7 linked regions of the Canis lupus familiaris genome follow. The protein of the gene in region 1 binds, or shares a complex with, the protein of each later gene. Links are inferred from orthologs where the notes say so. Each region holds a gene or a part of one and is shown on either strand. Other genes may lie near its edges. The genes, in order: SMARCC2, SMARCD1, ACTL6B, ARID1B, ARID2, ARID1A and PBRM1.

What was found.
Region 2: SMARCC2 (region 1) and SMARCD1 share a complex: the UniProt entries of both Homo sapiens proteins name them as parts of the BAF complex. The link is inferred for Canis lupus familiaris from reciprocal best matches to the Homo sapiens genes SMARCC2 and SMARCD1.
Region 3: SMARCC2 (region 1) and ACTL6B share a complex: the UniProt entries of both Homo sapiens proteins name them as parts of the BAF complex. The link is inferred for Canis lupus familiaris from reciprocal best matches to the Homo sapiens genes SMARCC2 and ACTL6B.
Region 4: SMARCC2 (region 1) and ARID1B share a complex: the UniProt entries of both Homo sapiens proteins name them as parts of the neuron-specific chromatin remodeling complex. The link is inferred for Canis lupus familiaris from reciprocal best matches to the Homo sapiens genes SMARCC2 and ARID1B.
Region 5: SMARCC2 (region 1) and ARID2 share a complex: the UniProt entries of both Homo sapiens proteins name them as parts of the SWI/SNF-B (PBAF) chromatin remodeling complex. The link is inferred for Canis lupus familiaris from reciprocal best matches to the Homo sapiens genes SMARCC2 and ARID2.
Region 6: SMARCC2 (region 1) and ARID1A share a complex: the UniProt entries of both Homo sapiens proteins name them as parts of the neuron-specific chromatin remodeling complex. The link is inferred for Canis lupus familiaris from reciprocal best matches to the Homo sapiens genes SMARCC2 and ARID1A.
Region 7: SMARCC2 (region 1) and PBRM1 share a complex: the UniProt entries of both Homo sapiens proteins name them as parts of the SWI/SNF-B (PBAF) chromatin remodeling complex. The link is inferred for Canis lupus familiaris from reciprocal best matches to the Homo sapiens genes SMARCC2 and PBRM1.

Annotation. Positions count from the first base shown.
Region 1 is NC_049231.1:853,929-858,180, reverse strand, and holds the start of SMARCC2 (SWI/SNF complex subunit SMARCC2), read left to right. Parts: upstream 1-1,452; 5' UTR 1,453-1,516; coding exon 1,517-1,627; intron 1,628-2,017; exon of another isoform or gene 2,018-2,045; coding exon of another isoform or gene 2,046-2,135; intron 2,136-2,373; exon of another isoform or gene 2,374-2,486; intron 2,487-3,388; coding exon 3,389-3,508; intron 3,509-4,252. UniProt on the Homo sapiens protein: Involved in transcriptional activation and repression of select genes by chromatin remodeling (alteration of DNA-nucleosome topology).
Region 2 is NC_049248.1:42,021,776-42,025,275, forward strand, and holds part of SMARCD1 (SWI/SNF-related matrix-associated actin-dependent regulator of chromatin subfamily D member 1), read left to right. Parts: intron 1-931; coding exon 932-1,067; intron 1,068-3,054; coding exon 3,055-3,177; intron 3,178-3,500. UniProt on the Homo sapiens protein: Involved in transcriptional activation and repression of select genes by chromatin remodeling (alteration of DNA-nucleosome topology).
Region 3 is NC_049227.1:9,001,725-9,003,981, forward strand, and holds part of ACTL6B (actin-like protein 6B), read left to right. Parts: intron 1-58; coding exon 59-173; intron 174-315; coding exon 316-396; intron 397-492; coding exon 493-588; intron 589-775; exon of another isoform or gene 776-792; coding exon 793-879; intron 880-2,257. UniProt on the Homo sapiens protein: Involved in transcriptional activation and repression of select genes by chromatin remodeling (alteration of DNA-nucleosome topology).
Region 4 is NC_049222.1:47,265,147-47,268,646, forward strand, and holds part of ARID1B (AT-rich interactive domain-containing protein 1B), read left to right. Parts: intron 1-2,817; coding exon 2,818-2,956; intron 2,957-3,170; coding exon 3,171-3,343; intron 3,344-3,500. UniProt on the Homo sapiens protein: Involved in transcriptional activation and repression of select genes by chromatin remodeling (alteration of DNA-nucleosome topology).
Region 5 is NC_049248.1:38,138,762-38,141,585, forward strand, and holds the end of ARID2 (AT-rich interactive domain-containing protein 2), read left to right. Parts: intron 1-708; coding exon 709-853; 3' UTR 854-2,324; downstream 2,325-2,824. UniProt on the Homo sapiens protein: Involved in transcriptional activation and repression of select genes by chromatin remodeling (alteration of DNA-nucleosome topology). Required for the stability of the SWI/SNF chromatin remodeling complex SWI/SNF-B (PBAF).
Region 6 is NC_049223.1:72,795,366-72,799,451, reverse strand, and holds the start of ARID1A (AT-rich interactive domain-containing protein 1A), read left to right. Parts: upstream 1-1,286; 5' UTR 1,287-1,301; coding exon 1,302-2,441; intron 2,442-4,086. UniProt on the Homo sapiens protein: Involved in transcriptional activation and repression of select genes by chromatin remodeling (alteration of DNA-nucleosome topology).
Region 7 is NC_049241.1:37,594,514-37,598,013, forward strand, and holds part of PBRM1 (protein polybromo-1), read left to right. Parts: intron 1-3,040; exon of another isoform or gene 3,041-3,180; intron 3,181-3,322; coding exon 3,323-3,468; intron 3,469-3,500. UniProt on the Homo sapiens protein: Involved in transcriptional activation and repression of select genes by chromatin remodeling (alteration of DNA-nucleosome topology). Required for the stability of the SWI/SNF chromatin remodeling complex SWI/SNF-B (PBAF).

The sequences.
Region 1 (4,252 bases):
CTTGAACTACTCAAGTAAATGTGAATTACTCTTGAGCTCCCTGATCCTTCTTGGAGAAGATGATGCTGTGCAAGAAATGAAACACCAAAAGAACATCCCCAACAAGTATCATTCCCCTCTAACCTCTAACCGGGGGAGAACAGGAGGGTTAGAGGTTAAAGAGGGAATTAATTCCCTAGCTTGGTTAATACACGGAGAATTTAGAACAGTGCTTGGCACATAAGGAGCATTCGGTAAAAACACACATTCGGGGTGTTCTCTGCCGCGCTCCAGCTCCAGCTCGGGCTGCAGTGTTGACGTTCCAACAGGCTGTCCTCCTAGCCCTGGAAACACCGAGAGGCGCCTCCTCACATCAAATGAGACCATGCCTTTTCTTGGGGCTCAATTACAACCAGACTTCCGGTCATGAAATCCAGAGGTGCCCTCTTTTCCTGGAAACTCTAGTTTTGAGTATCCTAGCACAACAGGCATCCACATTTCCAAAAACCTAACCCTTCTTCAAATCCTTTGCCATTCGTTTCCCCAAGAATGAAAACGTGCGCCAAAGCTCTCAGACCCGAAGCCCCAGGACGCGGCAAGTGCCTTGCGTCCGGGCAGACCGGCGGCTGTGCGAGGGCAGGCTTCCCTCGCTCACCTGCATCCCGCCCGGTCGTGGGGAGACCTCGGGCCGAAGGGGAGTGCGCGAGGGGCACGGGCGCGGGGCCCCTCGACGCCTCCTGAGCGAGAAAAAAAGCGGCCGTCACGAACAGGATTCGAACCTGTGCGGGGGAAACCCCATTGGATTTCGAGTCCAACGCCTTAACCACTCGGCCACCGTGACTCCCCAGACCGCGCTCCGCCGCGCGCTTACAGGAGGGGCCGCGCCCCCGGGCCCCCCGCCTCCACGGCGCTCCGAGGACAGCCGGGCGGCCCCCGGAGGGCCCGGCGGACGGGGGTGGCCCTCCCCGGGAGGACGGGTCTCCCAGGCGCCGGCGAGGCCTGCGGGGGGCCAGCTGGGGGCAGCGGCCGGCCGGGGCGGCGGGGGGCGGCCGAGGGCTCCTCGGGTCACCGCGGCAGGGGGCTGGCCGGGCGTGGGGGGCTCGGGCGATGGGAGCAAGGCGCTTCCTGGGCAGGGGGCCGGGGTGCCCGGGCCGTGCGGGCTCGGGGACTGGGAGCGCGGGGCAGGGCCGGCCTGGCTCCCCGGAGGGCAGGGCCGGGGGGCCCTCCGGCGTCCGCTTGGGGCGGGTGGGCGGCCCCCCGCGCCCTGGGCTGAGAGGCCGCGGGAGGAGAGGCTTCGCGCCGGGGAGGCCGCGGGGGAGGCCGCCGGGGAGGCCGCCGGGTGCGCCCCGCGTCGGGAGCCGCGCCGCCGCCGTGGCCGAGCGGCCGGCAGGGGGCGCTGCGCGGGCCGGGCCGGCCCAGGCGGCGGCAGGCGGCGGCCGCGGCGGCGGGAGGCGGCGGGAGGCGGGCGGAGGAGGAGGCGGAGGAGGCGGGAGCTGAGCGGCGCGGGGCGGGCGGCGGCGGGCCCGAGCCCGAGAAGATGGCGGTGCGGAAGAAGGACGGCGGCCCCAACGTGAAGTACTACGAGGCCGCGGACACCGTGACCCAGTTCGACAACGTGAGGCTCTGGCTCGGCAAGAACTACAAGAAGGTACGCGGGCAGGGCCGCGCGGCCGGGGGCGGGACAAAGGCCGCGGCCGCCCGCGCCCCCCGCGGCCCCCGCGGCCCCCGCGGCCCCGTTTCTCGCCGCCGCGCGGCGAGTCCCGGCGCCGACCGCCCCCGCCCGGGGCCACAGCCCTGCGGGCCCTTCCGGGAGAGGCGGCGGGGGGCGGACGCGGCGCCGGATGCCCCCGGCCCAGCCCGCCCGCCGGAGCTGCCCCGAGCCGGGCCGGCGGCGCTGAGGCCTCCGCGGGCTTTGTGTCCGCCCGGGAGGCGGTGGGAGCGGGCGGGTAAACAGGCGCCGGGCAGGCCGGGCCCGCGGGCGGCAGCGCCCCCCCACCTGTCCCCGCCGCCCGCCCCACGGGAGCCGGGAGCTCGCAGCCCCGGGCACAGCCTCCTGCCACCTCACAATGGAGCCCCCGGCCGCTGGCCTCGCACCGCTCGGGTCCGGGGCGCCGGGCCCAGGACGCTGCTGCCTCAGCCCCCGTCCGCGCCTGCAGGTGACAAGCGGCTGAACAAAGGGCTCAGAAAGCCTTACCTGACTTTCCGTCGAACCTCCCCCGGCGCTGTCTTTGTCTCGGGGCCCGGCCGAGAGGGCCGTCCGCCCCGGCTGCGCCCGCGGACAGCTCGGCCTCCGCCCCGCGCCGCCCGGTGGGAGGCTCGCCGTCGGCCCGGCTCTTCCTGCCCAGCTCCGCAGCCTGTCAGGAGCTGCCGGGCGCTTAGGAGTCCGCCCCCCGGCCCGGCCGCGGCCCTTCCCCCGCGGCTCCTGACAACCAGCTGCCGGGCCGGGGGCGCCTGCACCCCAGCGCGAGGCCTCGGCTCCCAGGCCTCCACCTTTGACCTTCCGGAAGGTCCGGAAGGGAGATGAGCGGGGGCTTAGTCTCTGGCCGGGGGGCGGGGGGGGGGATGGGGGGGCTGACGGCCCTTTGTCGCTTACCCTCTGGTGCGAGGCGCTCTCTACATCTCCCACTGAGAGGAGCGCTGGTCTCTGTGACTAGGGTTGAGGAAGCAGGGGTCAAAAGGTAAAGAGAAAGTTAGCCTCCTGGCTCAGATTTAAATTAGAACAGGAGGCTAGGATACTAGGTAGCGGCACATGGAAATGCGTGAGAAGGCCCGGGGTTGCTTGTCTCAGATACTGTTTCCTCAGAAAGCATCAATGTTTTCTTGCTCTTCCTCACCAGGCTGGGTAGGAGCTGGTCCTTGCCCCCTCGAAGGCGTTTGTGCCCAGTTCCTAGCAGAAGCAGAAGGCCCGGCTGGCACTCTCCGTCTGTTTGGCGTGCCTCACTTCCTTGCACCTTTCTTGTTAGGCTATGTTGCAGGGGGAGTCTCGGCCTCCACAAAGTTACCCCCAAGAAATACACTGTGGTCTGGCTTAGAGCCTCAAAGATACTGCTTCCTTTGCCTGCATTTACTGAACCTTCAGGATCTTACCGCCCTCAGTGCTGTTGACTAGAAATCAGGATCCTACAACTAACAACCAGTTTCAGAACGTAGCTGACAAGTAGGAAGCCCCACTTGCCTCCAGCACCGGCTGCTGGCAGGCTGGGTTGGGGGCAGCAGAATTTCAGCTTCCGGTGAGGGGCTTAGATGCCTTCCCTTCTGCCATTTTCTTTATAGAAACTAGACATGTGGGGGAAGGAGACACTATTTTTTCCACCCCAGATGCTTCCAGGGCCCCTTGGGAAAAAATAAGGGAGATAGTGGACAGTTTGTCTGAGGTCTACTTCTCTTCCGTTTGCCTCTGTTTCCCCAGTATATACAAGCTGAACCACCTACCAACAAGTCCTTGTCTAGCCTGGTTGTACAGTTGCTACAGTTTCAGGAAGAAGTTTTTGGCAAACATGTCAGCAATGCGCCGCTCACTAAACTGCCGGTGAGTGCAAATGCAAGGGGATGAATCCTCCAAACTGGAGAGGGAACTGTGGGGTTTTTGTAAATCTCATACTTTTGGAGATGTGGGTAATTGCCTGTTATCCCCATTCCTGGTCAGGGCGTTACTGGCTTGCCTTGGTCCCCAATTTACTCCTCCCTTTGTCTTAGTAATACTTGGTGCAGCGAGGTGCACCTGACTGGCTGAGTCGCTGCAGTGTGCTACTCTTGATCTGGGGGTTGTGAATTTGGTGTTGCGTGTAGAGACTTCTTAAAATCTCTATTCTTCTTAAAAAAGAAAAAAAAACTTTATTCAACAGGTTATATGTCTGAGCTCGTACATGAAACTCTTGTGGCATGGTTGAAAGGGTACAAGATTGGGATTTGCATTGGCTTGTGTTCAAATCCTGGCTCTGCCACTTGGTATCTCTGTGATCTTGGGCAAGCCATTTAAACCTTTTAAGTGTCTGTTTTTCATCTCTAGATGGGAATAATATCTCTACCTTGTAGGGTTTCTGTAATGGTCAATGAGGTGACCCAGTAAGTACGTGGCACAAGATGGGGCTTTGTGAATACTGGTTTTTTTCTTTCCCCCTTCTTCCAGGCCACGTGATACTGTGGCATAAGGGTTAAAGAATTCCACCTTTGGGGGCACCTGGGTGGTTCAGTCGGTTGGGCCTCCCAACTCAATTTTGGCTGAGATCTCGAACTCAGGGCTATGGGATCAAGCCCTGCATGGGGCTCCGTG
Region 2 (3,500 bases), on another chromosome or scaffold:
CATTTCATCCCAGCTCCTTGATCAGTAAAACAACTTTGGCAGCTTGTAATCAACCAGGTTGGGAATATCTAAACCACAGAAATCCACAAATGCTGCAAATTGGCTTTTTTTCCCTCCCCTTTTGGAGAATCGGTTGCTAGACATTTACCAACTCATTGTGGATGGGCTACCATCTCCTCTGTGGTTGGTAAAACATTCTAACCTGAGGCTCAACAATTCCATTATCCTTTCCCACTTTTTTGTTCAGAAGATGTCCTTCAAGATTTAGTTGGGACACTCCATCCCACTAGATATGGGGTGAGGGAATGCCTTTCCTCCTCCTCAGAGCAGCAGGTGGTTTGGCTGTAGTCTCTTTGCAGCCTTTCCCTTACTCCATGTTAATTCTGATAAAGGCTTTCCTTTCTTTATATCCTGAACTGTCACTCAGCCAATAGTAACTCCTACAATTTATATGTTGGATCATTAGAAGCTGATCTCTCTTGTATTCTTGTGCTAAAGTTAAGCCTTTTGTGTAGTGTGTGTTTTATTTGAATTTATTTTCAGGGTCAATTTTGTTTAATAGGGAGAAAGATATATAAGATACTACAGTAGTAGTTTCTTTTGGGGTGGGAGAAACTTCCTTTTCACTGAATATCTTTTGTACCATTTGAATTTTTACCATTGATTTTTTTTTTTAAAAAAACAACAGCTTTATTGGGGTTTATATACAATAGGTCATACACTCTTGAAGTATAGTTTGAGACTGTCAAACATGACACCATGTAGCTACCATCACAAGGAAGGTATGGGAAATTTCAGTTATGTGCAAAAGTTCTCTTATGTGTTTTTGCTCTCAACCTCTTACCCTCATTCTCAGGCCTTCTTCTGGATCTTGTGTAAATTGGTCTTAAGGGACAAGCCCTTTACTAGTCCCCTTTGGTTTCCTCCCCAGTGTTGACCCAAATGATCAGAAAAAGACTGCTTGTTATGACATCGATGTGGAAGTGGATGATACTTTGAAGACTCAGATGAATTCTTTCCTGCTATCTACCGCCAGCCAGCAGGAGATTGCTACTCTAGACAACAAGGTAGGGGGCCCCAGTCCTGGGTACCTTGGGTGCCACCAGCCCTCTGCCACAGCTTCTAGGCTATCTTTTGATTCTTAGCACTCATTCAGAATGTATTAACACCTAATCTATGCCAGGCACTGTGCTTGGTGCCAGTTGGAGCTGGCTGTTATGATTCTGCTATAGCTTTTAATAGCTTTGAGCCTGTTTCTGAACTATGAAATAGACACTATCATTTTTTTTTTAAAGATTTTATTTATTCATGAGAGACACAGAAAAGGAGAGAGAGAGGCACAGGCAGAGGGAGAAGCAGGCTCCATGCAGGGAGCCTGACGTGGGACTTGATCCCGGGTCTCTAGGATCAGGCCCTGGGCTGAAGGCGGCGCTAAACCGCTGAGCCACCCAGGCTGCCCGACAGTATCATTTTTTTAATAAGATTGTCATGAGGATTAAATGAGACAATGTACATAAAGACGACACAGTGTTTGGCAAGTGAAAACAAATGGTAACTGCTGCTGCTACTGTTATTTTCCTCGATAGACATTGTCCATGAAGGTAAAGCTAGAAACCATTCTGAGGAACACAAAGGAGCACAGGGACGCTTTCCTGGATCAGTTGATACCCCAACTAAATCTTGAAGGACAAAGTGAGAGTTAATGAAAGGGGAGAAAGGATAGTGCCTAGGGGTGTGGGAGGCAGAGGACATTCAGAAAGAGGGAACAGGGTAGGTAAAGGTCCCAAAATGAGAGTGAGCCTGGCATGTTCAAGAAATACAAGCTGTCTAGTGTGCTAGATATATCTTAGGGTGCTAGGAATGGGAAGTTTGGGGGAAGGAAATTGGATAGGGAAGCAGGAGTCTAATTCTAAAGAAGCTTTAGAAGGGAAACTGGTTTATTTATACTTTGTCCCAAAGACTGGAGGTAGCGATGCTCTTTGCATTTAGAATGACCACTGGCAGGAAGGCAGAGAGCAAGTTGTAAGAGAGGCAGATCTGGAGACAGGAAGGCCACTGAGGAGTCAGTGCAGTAACGCCTGTGACATGGTTTGGAGGGCCTGAACTTGGGGTACTGACAATAAGGATGAAAAGAAGTGGACAGATCTCAGAGGTGTCAAGATTTGGACCTGCAGAGATTTGGATACTCTTCATATGGGGTCAGTGGAGTGTGGCTTGAGGGAGGAGAAGGCATTATGACTCCCACGGTTTTCGCTTGGATGCATAGTAGTGTTCATTCAGATTGGCAACCGGAGAACAGAAGTGAATATTGGGGGAAAGGTAGTGAATTTTGTTTCAGAGTTTCATGTGTCTTGAATTATCAAGCAGCTAGAGTGGTTGGAGTTTAGAAAGTGGACTCTGATCTGCAGACTGAGGACTCGTGAACCCATCAGTGGTAATGGAAGATGTGCCAGTGAAGGAAGTTGCCAGGAAGAGTATGGATGATGAGAGAAGGGCAGGGACAAACCCCCCTGGGCCATGGCTTTTGAGACAGCTGCCTGTACCACCGCTCCTACCTCAGAATGTTTTTGCGCTTATTTGTGCTGTGGATTAAGTATTCACCATGTGGCTTCACCTGTAGTGGACATTGTAGGGATCAGAAGGAAAACTTCCCTCCCATGGGGCGTGTGACACAGTGCACACAGCTGCTGAAAGAATGCCGTGTGCTGGAGCAGTTGAGGCTCTGGGCAGCACTCTGGGCCTAGGTTGGGAGTGGCTGGCACATGGAAATGCAGACACCATCTGCCATTTATTTTATTTTTATTTTATTTTTATTTTTAAAGATTTAATTTATTCATGAGAGACACAGAGAGAGAGAGGCAGAGACATAGGCAGAGGGAGAAGCAGGCTCTGTGCAGGGAGCCCGATGTGGGACTCCATCCCGGGACTCCAGGATCACGCCCTGAGCTGAAGGTGGCGCTAAACCGCTGAGCCACTCGGGCTGCCCCCCGTCTGCCATTTAAGGTCGCATTTCCCAGTTTGAAATGTTATTAAGCTTCCTTCTTTTCCTTTCAGATCCATGAGACAATAGAAACTATCAATCAGCTGAAGACCCAGCGGGAGTTCATGCTGAGCTTTGCCCGAGACCCTCAGGGTTTCATCAATGATTGGCTTCAGTCCCAGTGCCGGGACCTCAAGGTAAAGAACCCGGGAAAGGTGCGAAGGGACTTAGATCAGTGAGGCACACATCTGCTTTATTTTTGTAGCATCTGGTAGAAGAGCCAGAGGGGAGGTGAAGGACCAGATTTTCTTTAGCATGTTCTCGGGTCCGTTTTACAACCAAGTAGGGAAATGGAGGTGGAACCATCGAGTGTTCATCTAGTACGTACTATGAGGTGTCACTGGTGTACCGTATCGGAGGGGATGCAGAGTGGAAAACTGGATCTCTGCTTTCAAAGCAGCTTGCGTTCTGTTTGGAGAAACTAGGCTCATAGGATTAATGCATTTATTTATTTATTTAA
Region 3 (2,257 bases), on another chromosome or scaffold:
GAGGGTACCTCTGGTCCCCTGTGAGCACCCCCAGGCAGAGTCTCTTTTTCCTGGGCAGGGTGGCTGCGCAGATGCCCACGGTACACTATGAGATGCCCAATGGCTACAACACAGACTATGGTGCTGAACGGCTCCGCATTCCCGAGGGCCTGTTCGATCCCTCCAATGTCAAGGTTGGGTGGGTGGAGGGTATTGAGGTGGGGACTGGTTGGATTCCCTGGATGCCAACGTTGGGTGTGAGGGAGGCTGGGAAGGATCACTGGGGTCTGGGGAGAGAGGGCAGAGGCCCAAAACCCAGATCACCTTTCTTGGCAGGGCCTGTCGGGGAACACCATGTTGGGTGTGGGCCACGTGGTGACCACCAGCATAGGCATGTGTGACATCGACATTCGCCCGGTGAGGCCCAAGCCTGTGTCTGGGCCCAGGGGCCCAAAAGTAGTGGGGAGACAGGGAGGGGCTGTGCCCTGAAGGCACACTCCTCTCTGCACTCAGGGCTTGTATGGCAGTGTCATTGTCACCGGTGGAAATACCCTGCTCCAGGGCTTCACTGACAGGCTCAATCGGGAGCTTTCCCAGAAGACCCCACCGGTAGGAGCCCTCCCCCAACAGGGTCCTGGATTCCTGTCCTGGCTTAGCTCTCCAGGACCCAGTCCTTCCTCCTTCCTCAACAGCAAGTGTTCTGGCCACCAGAGCAGACCCCTCCCCCTGCGGCTTCCCAGTCTTCCCCACTTCTAGCCCTCTCCCTTCCCAGAACCCAGGTGTCTGCTTCCCCCAGCCCCTCTTTCCCCCCAGAGCATGCGGCTGAAGCTCATCGCCAGCAACAGCACCATGGAGCGCAAGTTCAGCCCCTGGATTGGGGGCTCCATCTTGGCCTCACTGGTGAGAGGAAGGGGCCTGGCCTCGCACTGACTGTGGGAACCAGGCAGACCCAGACATCCCATCCCCTTGTCCGCCTCCTTATTCATTCATTCAACAAACTTTTATTTTTGAGAAAGAGTAGGCTCCCAGAAGGGTGAATGCTCCATCAGGACAAATCAGGGAGCAGAAGGACAGGAAGCTGGAGAGATTAGTGGAAGTTGAGGCTATGGACGAGGCACCCACTATACTTAGCAGAAGAGAGACACTGGAAGTTTGGGGCAAAGAAGCAATGTGACAGTCACAGGCATGTTTGGGAAGACTATGTCCAGAATGAGTCTTTGGAGATCAGAGTATGAGCCAGACACAAGGGCACCTTGGGAAGAGGCTCTTTCCATTGTCCTAGAGTCACAGAGTGAAAGCAGTGAGGATGGGGTGGTGGGCAGGAGGCAGATAGAGGAGACAGGCAGGCTGGTTCTGGAGCAATAGGTGGTGAGTCCTCTCTGGACCTGCTGTGGGACACAGGCAAGATGCTGAGCAGGGAGCTGGAGATGCAAACTATATCTCATGGGTGTCAGCCACACAGACAGGACAATGGGACCATGACAGAGCAAGAAGGTCATCTCCTAGAGGGGCAGCCCCCAAGGAGACAGAAACAGGGGTCAGAAATACAGGAGGCTGACAGTGTGAATTCATCCATCCAGTTATTGTGGCCCCCCACCCTGGGTGCCTGACATGGTCCCTGCTTCAGGAGGCAGCACAGACCAGCTGCTGAGCCCATTAAGCAGGAAGTCACCTCAAAATGTGCAAGTGTTCCTTGAAGGGAGGGCCTGATCTAGTTTCAGGGGCTCTAAGGAGCATTCAAGCTGAAGATGGAAGACTGAGTAAGAACCCTTGAGGCAAAGAAGGAGAGAGGATGCTTGGGCCATGGGGAGAGGCAGGGAGACCAAAGGCAATGGGCAGATGCTGTCAGACCCAAGTTTAAGAAGCTCAATGGGGCCACAGAGTGGAGAGTGGCTTGAACAGTGGCCTCCACTGTGACTGGAGTTTGACAGGGGAGTGGGTATCAGGCTGTAGAACTGGGAGCTCATGACACAATGTGGGCAGCATCTGGATGTGAAAAGTTAGAAGGAGTCTAGGATGATGCCCAGGATGCTAGCTCCTGGCAGCTGTGTCCAACAGGAATTTAATATGAGGAGCCACATATATAACTTGAAATTTTCTAGTAGGCATATTTTATAAGAGCCCCAAGAATCTGGTGAAAGTTAAGCTTAAAAAATATATCTTATTTGGGTTGCCTGGCTGGCTCAGTCAGTAAAGCATATGACTCTTTTTTTTTTTTTTTTTTTTTAAGATTTTATTTATTTGAGAGAGATAGCCAGGGAGAGAGCAGGAGCAGGGG
Region 4 (3,500 bases), on another chromosome or scaffold:
GTTCTTAGAGTCCATTCTCCCCCTAAGAAGGTAATTATAGTGTATTTCTTATCAACACATCCAAACTAAAAAGATTCCTAAGAAAAGTACTAGATTGCTTTCTAAATGGCCACTCTGAAGCCACCTGAATTCCCAGCTCATTTGGCTACACTAGCGTTGTGTGTCATCCATCTGTATTCCGGTTTCGATCTGGTGTGGCCAGTGTGGACTGAACTTCCTTTCCGCCAGCCTCTGGGAGGTAGAACCCCTCGGCCCGTGATCTTCACCGTAGGGACTGTGTGGTTTCTCAAGCCAGAGCTCCATGTTACTGTCTTCCAGTGACTTGGGCGAGTCCATTGAGGGAAGCTCCCAGATGAAACGTGGGCAAGGCCTGGGGTACAGTTGCATTTCTGAGGTGCCAGTGGGGATCTCGTTATAATAAGCCTGTAAAAGTTCATGGAGTTCTAATGAACAGCTGCAGAAATCACCTCCCCAAGTGGCCTAGGAGGCCTGGAAGCTGGGGTGGGGTGGGGGCGGGGTAAAGGGGGGCCGAGGAAGCTCCACATTCAATTAGTAAGTCTGTAACCAAAAACCCATCCATCTTTGCTGGCAGGTGGCTGACTGCATTTCTATTATTAGCTGACAGGTGATGTCACAAAACCTGTCATGGATCCAACTAGGGAATCCTCAGTGGAAGATAAATGAGAAAGAGGTTCAGGTTATAAACAAAGGTGCCCTCTGGGTGACCTCCAGTCACTGTAGACCTGGGACATATCAGCTCTCCTTCCTTCTCCCTGCCCTCCTTCCCGAAACCCCAGCCAGAACTAGGGCACCAGGTTCGTGCTGTGTAAATTATCTTCCCAGCTAGGAGTCTGGCTGTACAGTCTGAAGTGTGTGAATGTACTTAACCTTCAATAACCTTTCCATTGTTTACTTTCGAGTATACATTTGTAGCTTCTGGCAAAAGGTAGGGAGAGCCTACAGAGTGTGCCAGCCTCGTCTATTAATGGAGCTTCAAGAGGTTGTGTTCATTTTTTTTTTCCTGAAAGGAGAGGAAAAAATACTGGCAGAGGGAAGAATTTTTCCTTTTTTTTTTTTTTTTTTTTATTAGCTGTAAATGTGAATACTTGTAAATAAGGGTCATTCTGAAATCACAGCCTGTGAACCATGTTTCCAGGGAAGCCGCACAGGCTGCTGTGGAGTGTGGTCTGTGATTTAAGGAGCACGTTATTTCTCCTGCCAGCTCTGTGGGGCAGTCACATTTGTAGGTTTATCCTTACATATTTATAGAAGACTCCACTTTTTTTTCTCTTATTACGATCTATTTATTTGATATGTAGGGTTTCACCAAAATCTGATTTATAAGCATGTGTTACTAAGCTTTTCTTTGGCGATATCTACATTAAAAAGATGATCTACTTTTCAAGCTAGTCTTCCCGGCATCTCTGAGAGCTGCCCTGAGTCACTCTAGTCCCGGGCACCCAGCGTACACCTTACACAGGAGGCAGGGCCCTGGTGGCCAGGGCTCAAGATTCACTCCCAAGCAGGCCAGGCCCAGGGCTGACCTGATCTCACTGGAGACCTCTGTGTTCCGCTGAGGCTTTCTGACTGGAAGAGCTGGACTAATTTCCACCTCGGGCTCCTTCCCAGCACGCTCTGTAATCTCCAGTGATTTGTTGAACCCCATTTCCTCTACAGTTAAATGTGGCTACTGGTAATTGTAGTGAGTGTCGGACACTCCTAGGAAAGGGACTCCAGATAATAACATATACAGTATCATCTTTGACAAGCAGCCAGTAATTTCTGCCATTTGTAACAGTTCTGAAAGCATTTATTATAAACTGCATGAGGGCAGGAATTTTTGTCCTTTTTGTCAGTTTGGGACACTGGTGCATCCAGGAATAGAAAAAAAGCAATATAGTAAGCAATGTAGTAAGCATGTTATTTATTCAATAAGTATTTGTTGAATTAATAAATGTAGGTAGTGTCTTTCGGGCACCTCACATGCAAAGGTCAGTGATAAAGCGGGAACCCTTAAAATACTATGTTTTCCAATGAGGTGAGTACTTAAGTTTTTAAAAAGATTTGCTCAATACTGAGCTCTGTTATTATAGTGTAATTATAGTTAAAGCCAAATCTCAGGACTCTGATGATGACATTAAAGAACTCCAAAGAGCATGACTTTGGTTTTGTAATAACAAATCTGATTCCAGAGCTCTAAAAATGACTTTATTAATGACATAGCACAGACATTGAGGAGGCATTGAAGTGATATAAGGCTCATTAAAAATTTGTATCATTGCATTTCAACTTAAACATTTCTCATTGCCTAAGACCTGGTAGTAATTTTTCTAACTTTTTTCCTAAAATAGCACAATAGTCCATCAAATCAGTATACCGAATTTTTCATCCCATTTTTTTTCCTTACTCTCAGACATTTAGATTATCTCCATTATAAACAACACTGAAATAAACATTTTTTTCTGCCTAAAGCCTTCTTTTATATTAGATTATTTTCTTGAGATAAATACCCAGGAAAGCAATTACCCAGTCAAGAGGTATAAATATGTTTTATGGCTCACAAATGAAGTATGTTGCCAAATAGATTACTAAAAACAAAACAAAACAAACAACTTTTACTAATTTTCACTATAAACAATATAAAAGCAACTAATTTTACTGTGTCGTTACCAGTAATGGATATTGTTACTATTTCTAATTCTAATAAGATGGTGTCGTGTTGTCTTTCCTTTTTTTTTTTAAATTAGTAGGAAGGATGAGCTTACTTGATAACTTCTTTTTTTTTTTCTTATTTTCTCTTGGTACTACTACTGTCAGCTAACTCAGGATCCTTGCAAGGTCCACAGACCCCCCAGTCAACTGGCAGTAACTCAATGGCAGAGGTTCCAGGTGACCTGAAGCCACCGACCCCAGCCTCCACCCCTCACGGACAGATGACCCCGATGCAAGGTGGAAGGTATGCAAAAGGATCTCTGTGAGCCACATGACATCAGATTTGTCTGTAAAGAAGAAGTGTGTGTCCTTAATGTTGAATACTACTAGTTTTATTCATGTAATTTTAGGGGATGGTTTTTACATTAAACATTTTCAAGTTAGGCCTATTTTCTGAACAAGCATTTGGAGGCATCTCCTGCTATTTCACGAAGCTTTCATTTTTCTTGTCTCCTTAGAAGCAGTACAGTCAGTGTGCACGACCCATTCTCAGATGCCAGTGATTCATCATTCCCAAAACGGAACTCCATGACTCCAAGCACCCCATACCAGCAGGGCATGAGCATGCCTGATGTGATGGGAAGGATGCCCTATGAACCCAACAAAGACCCCTTTGGTGGAATGAGAAAAGGTAAGTGCAGGGAGACCTTTGCTCAGGCTTGGTCCAGAGGGCATTCTTCCCTCTGCCATCCCACAACCAATTCACTTACCCATTCGAGACATATCTGAGTCCCAGCTCTTCAACCTACTAAATTCCCAGCCTTGGGGAAAGTTCGCAGTAGCTCCAT
Region 5 (2,824 bases), on another chromosome or scaffold:
TCTTTCCAATATCACTGATTTCTGCTTGAATTATTTCTTCTACTTACTTTGGATTTACTTTGCTCTTCTGTTATTAGGTTCCTAAGGTGAAAATTTTAATTATAGATTTTAGATCTTCTTTTATAATAATATGCATTCAGTCAATGCTATATATTTCCCTCAAAGCACTGCTTTCATTCATGGCATTCCACAGATTTTAACAATTTGTATTTTTATTTTAATTTAATCTAAAATATTTTTTAAGTTCTTTTGAGATTTCTTCTTGACCCATGTATAACTTTGTGTTACCCATGTAGTTACCCATGTATTGTTTACATCTTGGACTTGGGGATTTTCCAGTCAACTTTCTGTTACTAATTTCTGGTTTAATTCCATTTTGGTCTGAAAACTGACACATTGCTACTAGCATTCTTTGAACCATCCTTTATACATGTAGCTTCTCAAAGTGTATTAAAAGCAGCAGCATGTGGTACATGGTAAACACATTTGTTCACTGAAAAATCACTACATGGATACACGGAAGTTCTGTCAAGTTTAGAAACATCCTTTATCCATGTAAGTGTATAGTGTATTCCGTTCACCGAAGTGTGCTGAACACATCCACTCAATGAAATAAAAAATATTTAGTTTTTAAACTTGCAAAATCCATAAGGAATCATCACTGACCTTGGATACTGACGAACCTCTGTTTTTTGTTTTTTTTTTCAGATTGTTAAAGAGACATGAAAACAACTTATCAGTGCTAGCCATTAGTAACATGGAAGCTTCCTCCACCCTTGCCAAATGCCTTTATGAACTTAATTTTACAGTTCAGAGTAAAGAACAAGAAAAAGACTCAGAAATGCTGCAGTGAAAAATAATTCCACTTCTCTAGTGGGGACTCAAAGTCACATACATTTCACATACTGTTACTGAAGAAAGCACCAAGTCTTAATGGAACAGAGACCATAGAATGAATTATTTTATCTCCTCCCATGATGCTGAGAGGAAGCTTCGTATTCTGATCTCTGAGCGAATCCCTTTGTTCTCTGTTTAAAAAAAATCTAAAAAGAAAAAAAAAAAACTGCTGTGGGATTGTCAACCAGCTTATCTGCAGGATGTCTCTCAGATCTGATAAATCCTGATGGAAACTGGTATGATCAGAATTCAGTACCATCCACATTGGAATATACATGGAATATTGTAAAACCTACATGAGCAGATGAAATAGAAGCATTAAATATTTTTATCTATATCCAAAAAGGAGCACATTTTTATATTTACAAAACCGTTTAAGCTGGTTTGAATAATTAAAAAAAAATTTCAGCACACCTATACCCCCTGATCTCAGAGGGGGCCACCAATATCTAGCTATGGATTGTGTGTTTTGTTTAGAAATCAGTAGCTTGGTTTTCTTACTTGAGCCAATATATTTTCACTTATTTATTATCATAAAAATTTACCAGTCTGAATAGATCTTGTAAATATTTGTGAATAGAACGAACACCTTTCATGCCACTGCAGCCACTGGAAATACATTCTGTGGTGTCCTAGAAGCATTATTGGTAGGTTCTAAAGTTTTCTAGACTTTCCTGTCAATTGTAAGTAATTGTGATATATTCTACGCAGTGGATGAATGTTCTTTAAATTTGTGTAAATACTTCTGCAAAGGTACTGATGCTGTAAAGTCAAAACAGTTTTGTGGAACTGTGATTTTTTTTTCTTTTTTTTTCTTTTTTCTTTTTTTCTTTTGTTTTGTTTTGTATTATACACCTTGTAGAACTCATTTTGCTGGCTGAAAGAGTATGGAATAATATATCTCATGTCATTTTTGTAGAAGAAAAACTATTTGAAGGTATTTTTTGGTTTTCCCTAACATGTATCCACTGTAAACGTTTGTCATGTGCAAGCTCAGAGCTTGGACAGAATTTTTTGTATTTGTAAATTGGTTTAAATACATGGAATTTTATACAGGTTTTCTCCTGTGTTATATATGCATTATGTGCAGGTATGATATTTTCTTCACTACTTTTTCTATCTTAATATAGTGTGGAATTTTATTGTATTATTCTTCCATTCTTAATACTGTACCACATTCCTGCTCAGAAACTGCTCACTTCCTTAAATTGTCTTCTTCCCCCAGCGTGAAATGTATCCATTTATAACTGCCTATTGCCTGTTCTATTAGCATCCAAAAATGTGGAAGGCCTCCCAACCACCATTTCTGCTGTGTCCTTAGGATGTGCAGTAAAAAATATAGACCTAACAGTTTATGTTATAGAATGGCTTTATTTACTTTGGTGACTGTTTATAGTTTTTAAATAAAAGACTGAACATTTTCTTGAGTCCTTCATTTCTGAGTATGCTTAAGACATTCTTTTAAAAATATAGAGAGAATCCCAAATTTAGCTGAAGACAAGGTCCAGTCACCTATTTAATTTTATGTCATTTATAATACATTAAGTAGAGAACAGATAAAAGAGATCCTTTACATGACAAATTTGCATGAGATAGCAGGAGATTGAGCGTACTTTCCATTTGTTATAATGTAAAGCAAACCCAGATTATTGTTTGATACTGTGTTTCTCTGTTCATTCAGAACCACAAGGCGCCCAGACCTTCAACTTGAATTTAGGGACAGATTCCTAGAGTAAAAGGATATAAAAATTTTTTTTTGGTTTGGATGGATATTAAAAAATTTGGATATAAAAAACAATTTTTTAATGGTTTGATTCAACTGGTGTTGAAGGAAAATCTAATTTCTCCCTGCAGAGGGGATCCATGGCACTGCACTGTGCTGTGTATTAATGGATGCAAAAGAGACTTTTTATCCAACATCAGCCCC
Region 6 (4,086 bases), on another chromosome or scaffold:
AATGGGGATAATCGGACCTCATGGCCCCCCAGGCCCATGGGCCTTATGAGGCCGGGCTAATGAGGGTAGGGGAGTGGGAAAACGGAAAGTCTGAACAATGATCTGTCATTCCGTTGGGCTTGCAAAGGGGATAAAATGTAAGGCCCTGCTCGCTCACTCAGCTGGGTCTTTAAGACCGGGTTTGTAAAAGGCTTTGAAGAAAAGTGCTGTAGAGGTGCTAAGTAGCAGCCAAGAGACCAGGCCCGCTGCCAGGGGGTCAGGCCTGGGCCGAGGCGGCCGCGGTCTCGGGCTCTGGCCAATTTTGCAGCCGCGAGTAAAGTTCACGCTGCCCGCTCCCCTCGGTGCGGCCTGGAGGGGACCGACCCGGATAGGAACGCCAGAAGGGAGGCGGCGCAGGCTCCGAGAGGCGCGGGCTCCGGGCCGGGTTTTCCCCGAAGCCTTCAGCGGCGGCGCTGCCGAGCGAAAGCGGCAGAGGGCCTGCCGCCGCCGCGGCTCGTTCTCTCCCCTCCTCCTTTGTGAGGGGAAGGGAGCGAGTCCGTTCCATGGCCTGCGCCCGCTCCGCGCTCCATTCCGGGTTTGCCAGGCGGCCGCGACGGCGCTGGGTAAAATGGCAGTGCTGAGCCTCGTGTCGGAGTGAGGGGGACTCGGAGGAGAGTGGGGCGCTCTAGCCGCTCAGTCCGGCCGCCCGCCCGCCCGCCAGCCCGCTGCCGCGCAGCAGCCTCGGCCCGCGCCGCGGCCGGGGAGGGGAGGCAGGGCGCCCGGCCCGGCCCGCGCTCCGACTCTGCCTCCCGGCGCCCGGGCTGCTGCCGCGCGCCCTCCAGCCCGCCCGTCCCGGGTCCCCCTCCCCCCGCTCCCTCCCTCCCTCCCTCCCCGCCCCCTCCCCCTCGCCTCCCTCCCTCCCTCCCTCCTCCTTTCTCCGGCAGCAGAAAGCGGAGAGTCACAGCGGGGCCAGGCCCTGGGGAGCGGAGCCTCCACCGCCCCCCTCATTCCCAGGCAAGGGCTTGGGGGGAATGAGCCGGGAGAGCCGGGTCCCGAGCCTACAGAGCCGGGAGCAGCTGAGCCGCCGGCGCCTCGGCCGCCGCCGCCTCCTCCTCCTCCGCCGCCGCCAGCCCGGAGCCTGAGCCGGCGGGGCGGGGGGGAGAGGAGCGAGCGAGCGAGCGCCGCGCAGCAGCGGAGCCCCGCGAGGCCCGCCCGGGCGGGTGGGGAGGGCAGCCCGGGGGACTCGGCCCCGGGGCGGGGTGGGAGGGGGGGAGAAGACGAAGACAGGGCCGGGTCTCTCCGCGGACGAGACAGCGGGGATCATGGCCGCGCAGGTCGCCCCCGCCGCCGCCAGCAGCCTGGGCAACCCGCCGCCGCCGCCCTCGGAGCTGAAGAAAGCGGAGCAGCAGCAGCGGGAGGAGGCGGGGGGCGAGGCGGCGGCGGCGGCAGCGGCCGAGCGCGGGGAAATGAAGGCAGCCGCCGGGCAGGAGAGCGAGGGCCCCGCCGTGGGGCCGCCGCAGCCACTGGGAAAGGAGCTGCAGGACGGGGCCGAGAGCAATGGGGGTGGCGGCGGCGGTGGAGCCGGCGCCGGCGGCGGGCCCGGCGCGGAGCCGGACCTGAAGAACTCGAACGGGAACGCGGGCCCTAGGCCCGCCCTGAACAATAACCTCACGGAGCCGCCCGGCGGCGGCGGCGGCGGCAGCAGCGATGGGGTGGGGGCGCCTCCTCACTCAGCCGCGGCCGCCTTGCCGCCCCCAGCCTACGGCTTCGGGCAACCCTACGGCCGGAGCCCGTCTGCCGTCGCCGCCGCGGCGGCCGCCGTCTTCCACCAACAACATGGCGGACAACAAAGCCCTGGCCTGGCAGCGCTGCAGAGCGGCGGCGGCGGCGGGGGCCTGGAGCCCTACGCGGGGCCCCAGCAGAACTCGCACGACCACGGCTTCCCCAACCACCAGTACAACTCCTACTACCCCAACCGCAGCGCCTACCCCCCGCCCCCCCAGGCCTACGCGCTGAGCTCCCCGAGAGGTGGCACTCCGGGCTCCGGCGCGGCGGCGGCCGCCGGCTCCAAGCCGCCTCCGTCTTCCAGCGCCTCCGCCTCCTCGTCGTCTTCGTCCTTCGCTCAGCAGCGCTTCGGGGCCATGGGGGGAGGCGGCCCCTCAGCGGCCGGCGGGGGAACCCCCCAGCCCACCGCCACCCCCACCCTCAACCAACTGCTCACGTCGCCCAGCTCGGCCCGGGGCTACCAGGGCTACCCCGGGGGCGACTACGGCGGCGGGCCCCAGGACGGGGGCGCCGGCAAGGGCCCGGCGGACATGGCCTCGCAGTGCTGGGGGGCTGCGGCGGCGGCGGCGGCGGCGGCAGCAGCCGCCTCGGGAGGGGCCCAACAAAGGAGCCACCACGCGCCCATGAGCCCCGGGAGCAGCGGCGGCGGGGCGCAGCCGCTCGCCCGGACCCCGCAGGTACACAGCTGAGTGGGGAGGGGGCCGGGGCGAGCGGGGTCCTGGGAGTGGGTGGCGGCTGCGGGGAGCAGGCCACAGCCTTGGGCTACCCCCAGTCCGGGGCCCCCACTGCTGGGGAGCTGCCATTGTCTGGCTCTTCTCTTAAAATGGCTGCCTGTCTGCCTTCCTCTCCTTCCCTCCTTCAGCCTTTGTGTGGGGCTTTCCCTGAGGTGTCTGCTCCCCTTCTCCCTCTCCCCTGGTCCCTTCGCGCTCCTGGGGTCTTCGAGGGGGTGCGGGGCAGAATGTGCGGGGAAGGGCCTGGCCCGGGGTTGAGGGGTGTGTTGGGGGCTCAGGTTGGGGTGTGCAGAGCTAGGAGCTCGGGAGTTGAGTGAACAATTCTTTGCTCACCTGCCGCTCCTCTCTGCCCGCCCTCCTGCCTTCCTCTAGGCCGTTCCCCATCTGTGCTTTCAAGGAGGGGCCCCTCGGGCTCTGGGGTACCTCGGGGGAGGGCAGGGGCCTGCTTGGGGGCAGCTAAAGGCCGGCTGCGGTTCACCCAGGGCAGCCCGGGCCATCTCCTGTCTTAGTCTCCGTCGGCCCAGTGGCCTGGGCTTCTCCCTGGAAGTGCTGGTAAACAGCTGAGTGATTGGAGTAGTAAGTGCAGATTGCTTTGGTTTGGGATTTGAATTATGGAGGTAAAATCCTTCTGTCAAAGCCAGGAGACAGTTGGTCTTAGGTTGACATCCTATCTGTGATCTGATTGGCTCCCCATCTCCTGCTCTTGGCCATTTATAATTGCCTCTGATGTAATGGTACAACAATCCTGATGAGCTCATAAACTTTTACACTCTGCTTTTCTGCCAGTGATAACCCAAACCATCGCTGCCACTATCTGCCTTTTATTCCAGAGCTGAAATTGGCTGTGACCTTGAGGAGGAAGGTTTAAGCAGCAATACTGTATCAGCAGGAGCAGAGCCCCAGACAGGCTGCCCTTGTTACATTGTGCCGAAACAAAAGAGGAGGCAGTGGCATTTTGCTTGTACCTTGGATTTATTTTGCTTGTTATGTTTTATGCAGCCTGAAATAGATTCTGTGTTGTCAGAACAGTAGCTGAGTTTTTCTCTACAATGGGTTTGCTGTTTGTTTTGGTTTTGTGACTTTCCTGGTGGTATAAATGACTTCTTTGATGGCTCTGAAGATGCATTTGTCTTGAGTAATTTTGACCCTGTTCGCGTTGCAGAATTGAGATTATTTTACTGGGATTTTTATTGAGTGACAAATGTGGGATCTTTATGGGAGGGGGTAGAAGAAAACTTTTTTTTTCTTTTTCTTTTTTTTTTTTTTTTTTTTTGAACTGGAAGCTTCCTGAGAGAATTTCATATTACGTTCAAGTGTTCTGTTTTAAGGAAGACTGGCCTCATTCTTTGTTTACATGTTGAATCTTGTTAACTCTTTTGTTAATTGAACTTTGAGAAAGCAGCTCAATTTAAAGAGAAGCCGATATCTTTTATGATCTTGGGAGGGACTTTCTCCTAAAGGCCTGGTTTGGTAAAATTTATCATTTGTTCCTGGGATATCAAAAAGGCTAGTTTTCTGTTTTGTCATCAGTCACTTTAGAGCTTTGAGATAGAGGTCAACTAATTTTTTCTTTGCATTTTAAGGTATGTTC
Region 7 (3,500 bases), on another chromosome or scaffold:
TCTTTTAACCCTTTTAAGAGACCTATAATTATAATACTGTTTAAATTATTTCAAAGCATGGAGAACAAAGAAAACTTCCCAGTTTATTTTACAACAAAACTAGGATGATCCTAATTCCAAAGCCTGACAAAATAAAACAGAAAAGGTACAGTTCAATCTAACTTACGAATTTTGATGCAAAAAATACTTGGAGAAAATGGTTTTTTATTTATAAGTGAAATCAAATTAGTTATTTAAGAATAATATGACCAAGTAGGTAAGAGTTCATTCTAGAAATGCAAGGATTGGTCAGAATGAGGAAAATTCAGTAATATACATCATTATATTAATAGATCAAAGGAGAGATTATTTGATAAAGTACAGCAACTGTATTTAAGTCTTTAGATGGTATTTCCTCAAAGTGATTTTTTTTAAGTTATATTTGTTTCTTATGCCTAAAGCCTGCTTGCTCTACGGTTACCTATATTTTTCCAAAAGTAGCCAATGCAGACCAAAATAGCAAAATATTGACAATAAAGTGGCAATCATAAAGATCATAGGGGAGCACTTAACTAAAGTTTTGAAAAACAGGATTCAACAAAGGAATTTCAAAATCCATATACGAGTCAATAACTTTTTTTTTGTAAGATTTATTTATTGATTTATTTGAAACAGAGAGAGACAGCAAAAGAGAGTACAAGCAGTTAGGAGAGGGAGAAGCAGGCTCCCCACTAAGCAGGGAGCCCAATGTGGGGCTCAGTTCCAGGGCCCTCGGATCATGACCAGAGCCGAAGGCAGACGCTCAATCACCTCAGCCACCCAGACACCCAGTAGCTTTTTTATATAAACCAAACTATAATTCACAGGACTCTTGAAAGTAAAATGAAAACGTTGACTATCATGTTGAATATATTTTATCAACTGTTAGGATAATCATATAGAAGAAAATACCTGATTCACCTTAACAACAAAATACATTGAGAAATAACCTTAAAAGGAATACTTGGAACCTATGGGACGAGAAACCGGCCACTCAAGGATGTAAAAGATTTGGATAAATTGTTTTCAGAATTTGACAAAATGAGGGCACCTGGGTGGCTCAGTTGGTTAAGCCTCTGCCTTTGGCTCAGGTCATGATCTTGGGGTCTTGGGATCAAGCTCCACATTGGGCTCCCTGCTCAGCGGGGAGCCTGCTTCTCCCTCTCCCTTTGCTACTCCCCCGCTTGTATTCTCTTGCTTGTGCTCTCTCTCAAATAAATAAAATCTTAAAAAACAAAACAAAACTTGGAAAAAATAGACTTCTTAGTGTCTTAGAAAAGAAATCCATTTTACTGTCCTAACAGTGTTACAAGAGAAAGGGAGCTGAGGAAAACGTGATCTTCTTTACACTTTACTAGTATGTTTGGGAGTTATAGAGATGTTAATTTTGAAAGAATAAGAAATACCAATGGAAGCCAACATGGGAATTAACCCACATTTCTTATTAGAATTCATAAGACTCCAAGGTCCTCTATGTGCATGCAATTTTTTTCCTTTTGTCTCCTGTCTTTATTTTAATACTGCCTGACCGAAACAAGTCATTCCTGGAACTTTTTAAAAGAATACCTTCAGCAGGTAGAGCATGCAGCTCTCATTCTTGGGGTTGTGAGTTCCAGCCACATTTTGGGCAGAGAGGTTACTTTAAAAAAAAAAAAAAAACCTTCAGAACACAACCAACCCATTTCCAAAAGAGAAAGTTATTCTTAATTTTGGGGCTACTTTATAGCTCCCATTCCTATAGATTTCCCCTCACCCATTATATGTGTGACCTCATGCATTCTTCAGGATTTTCCAGAAGAACCATTTATATATCACATCTGAAGTCATAAAGATCAAAACAAATTGTTTGGACCTTCTGAAGGATATTTTTCTTTTTTTCAGTTTGAAGTTCAGATACTCTCAAGGAGATGCAGTAGAAAATGTTGGGGTTCTGGAGTTTCCTCAGCTTTTATATGTTTTGGAATTAGTATGTTTAAAACACCTCATGCTTTGCCTATTCTCTGCATCAGATCAGAACTGTCCTTTTTTCTTTTTCTTGTTTTAAGATTTTATTTATTTGTTTGAGAGAGAGAGAGAGAGAGAGACAGAGAGAGACAGAGCATGAGCCAGGGGAGTGGCAGAGAGGAAGGAGAAGCAGACTCCCCGCTGAGCACAGAGGGCAATGCAAGGCTCCATCCCAGGATCCTGAGATCATGGCCTGAGCTGAAGTCAGACGCTTCACTGAGCTATCCAGGCTACCCTTTTCATTTTCTATTTTTTGCCAAAACTATAAAACCACAATAATGAATGTGCATTCAAGGCTTTTCCTAAGTCAGACATTGTTCTGCATACTTGATGTGGAGTATGTCATTGAATCTTCCTAACAGCCCCATATGATGGGTACGCTGCCTTTGTTTTATAGGTGACCTAACAGGTCAAGTAATTAGCCCAGCATCACAGCAGCCAGTAGGTGACAGAGCTTGTTATTTATTTAGAAACAGAGTGTATGTGTTTATATCACAGAGGCTATACTTTTCCATCCCAGAATAAATAAAAATGATAACTTTATTTTTATTAATGATAATTTAAAACCATTAGTTGTTAATGTTAAAAAATTGAGAGTTTGGGGGGAAAAAAATTGAGAGTTTGGGACACCTGGGTGGCTCAGCAGTTGAGTGTGTGCCTTTGGCCCAGGGCCTGATCCGGGGATCTGGGATCAAGTCCCACAATGGGCTCCTTGCAGGGAGCCTGCTTCTCCCTCCATCTGTGTCTCTGCCTCTCTCTCTCTCCCCCCCCCCTTTGTCTTTCATGAATAAATAAATAAAATCTTTTTTTTTAAAAATTGAGAGCTCAATAAATGTAGTGAAGAGGAAGCTCGTGCAGAATTTGCTCTTTATGCTCCATAGCAGTGTATGAGTGAGACTGCTCTTGAATGCTGATCCATTCTGTGTGGTACTTTTTTTGCTGAAGGCTATGGGAATGGGGGGGATTGGGCAAAGGGATAAAAGGACCTTGGAGTAACATTTTATGAAACTTAAGCAGAAGCGTTGTACAGTGGCAGTATCGTAGCCAATGAGATTTATCTGAGGCACGATTATTTGCTAATTGAAACATAAGTAGAAATTTAAAATAAATGCAGTATTTAAGAAGACTCAGTTTGATTTCAGAACCCCAATCTTTAGGCTTCCAATCTTCATCAAAACATCTACTTATAGTTATTTTTTTCTTTTAAGTTAATATGGAAAGTCAGCTTTTCTTTCTTAACTTTCTCTGTCTCCTCCTTGATCGTCAGCTGTCTATCTTCAACCAGTTTCCTTTACCACAGGAGAAAGAAGATGTCCCTGTGGAAATGTCAAACGGTGAACCAGGTTGCCACTACTTTGAGCAACTCCGTTACAATGACATGTGGCTAAAGGTTGGCGACTGTGTCTTCATCAAATCCCATGGCCTGGTGCGCCCTCGAGTGGGCAGGTGGGTGTTACTGAATCAGGGAGGATGCAGTT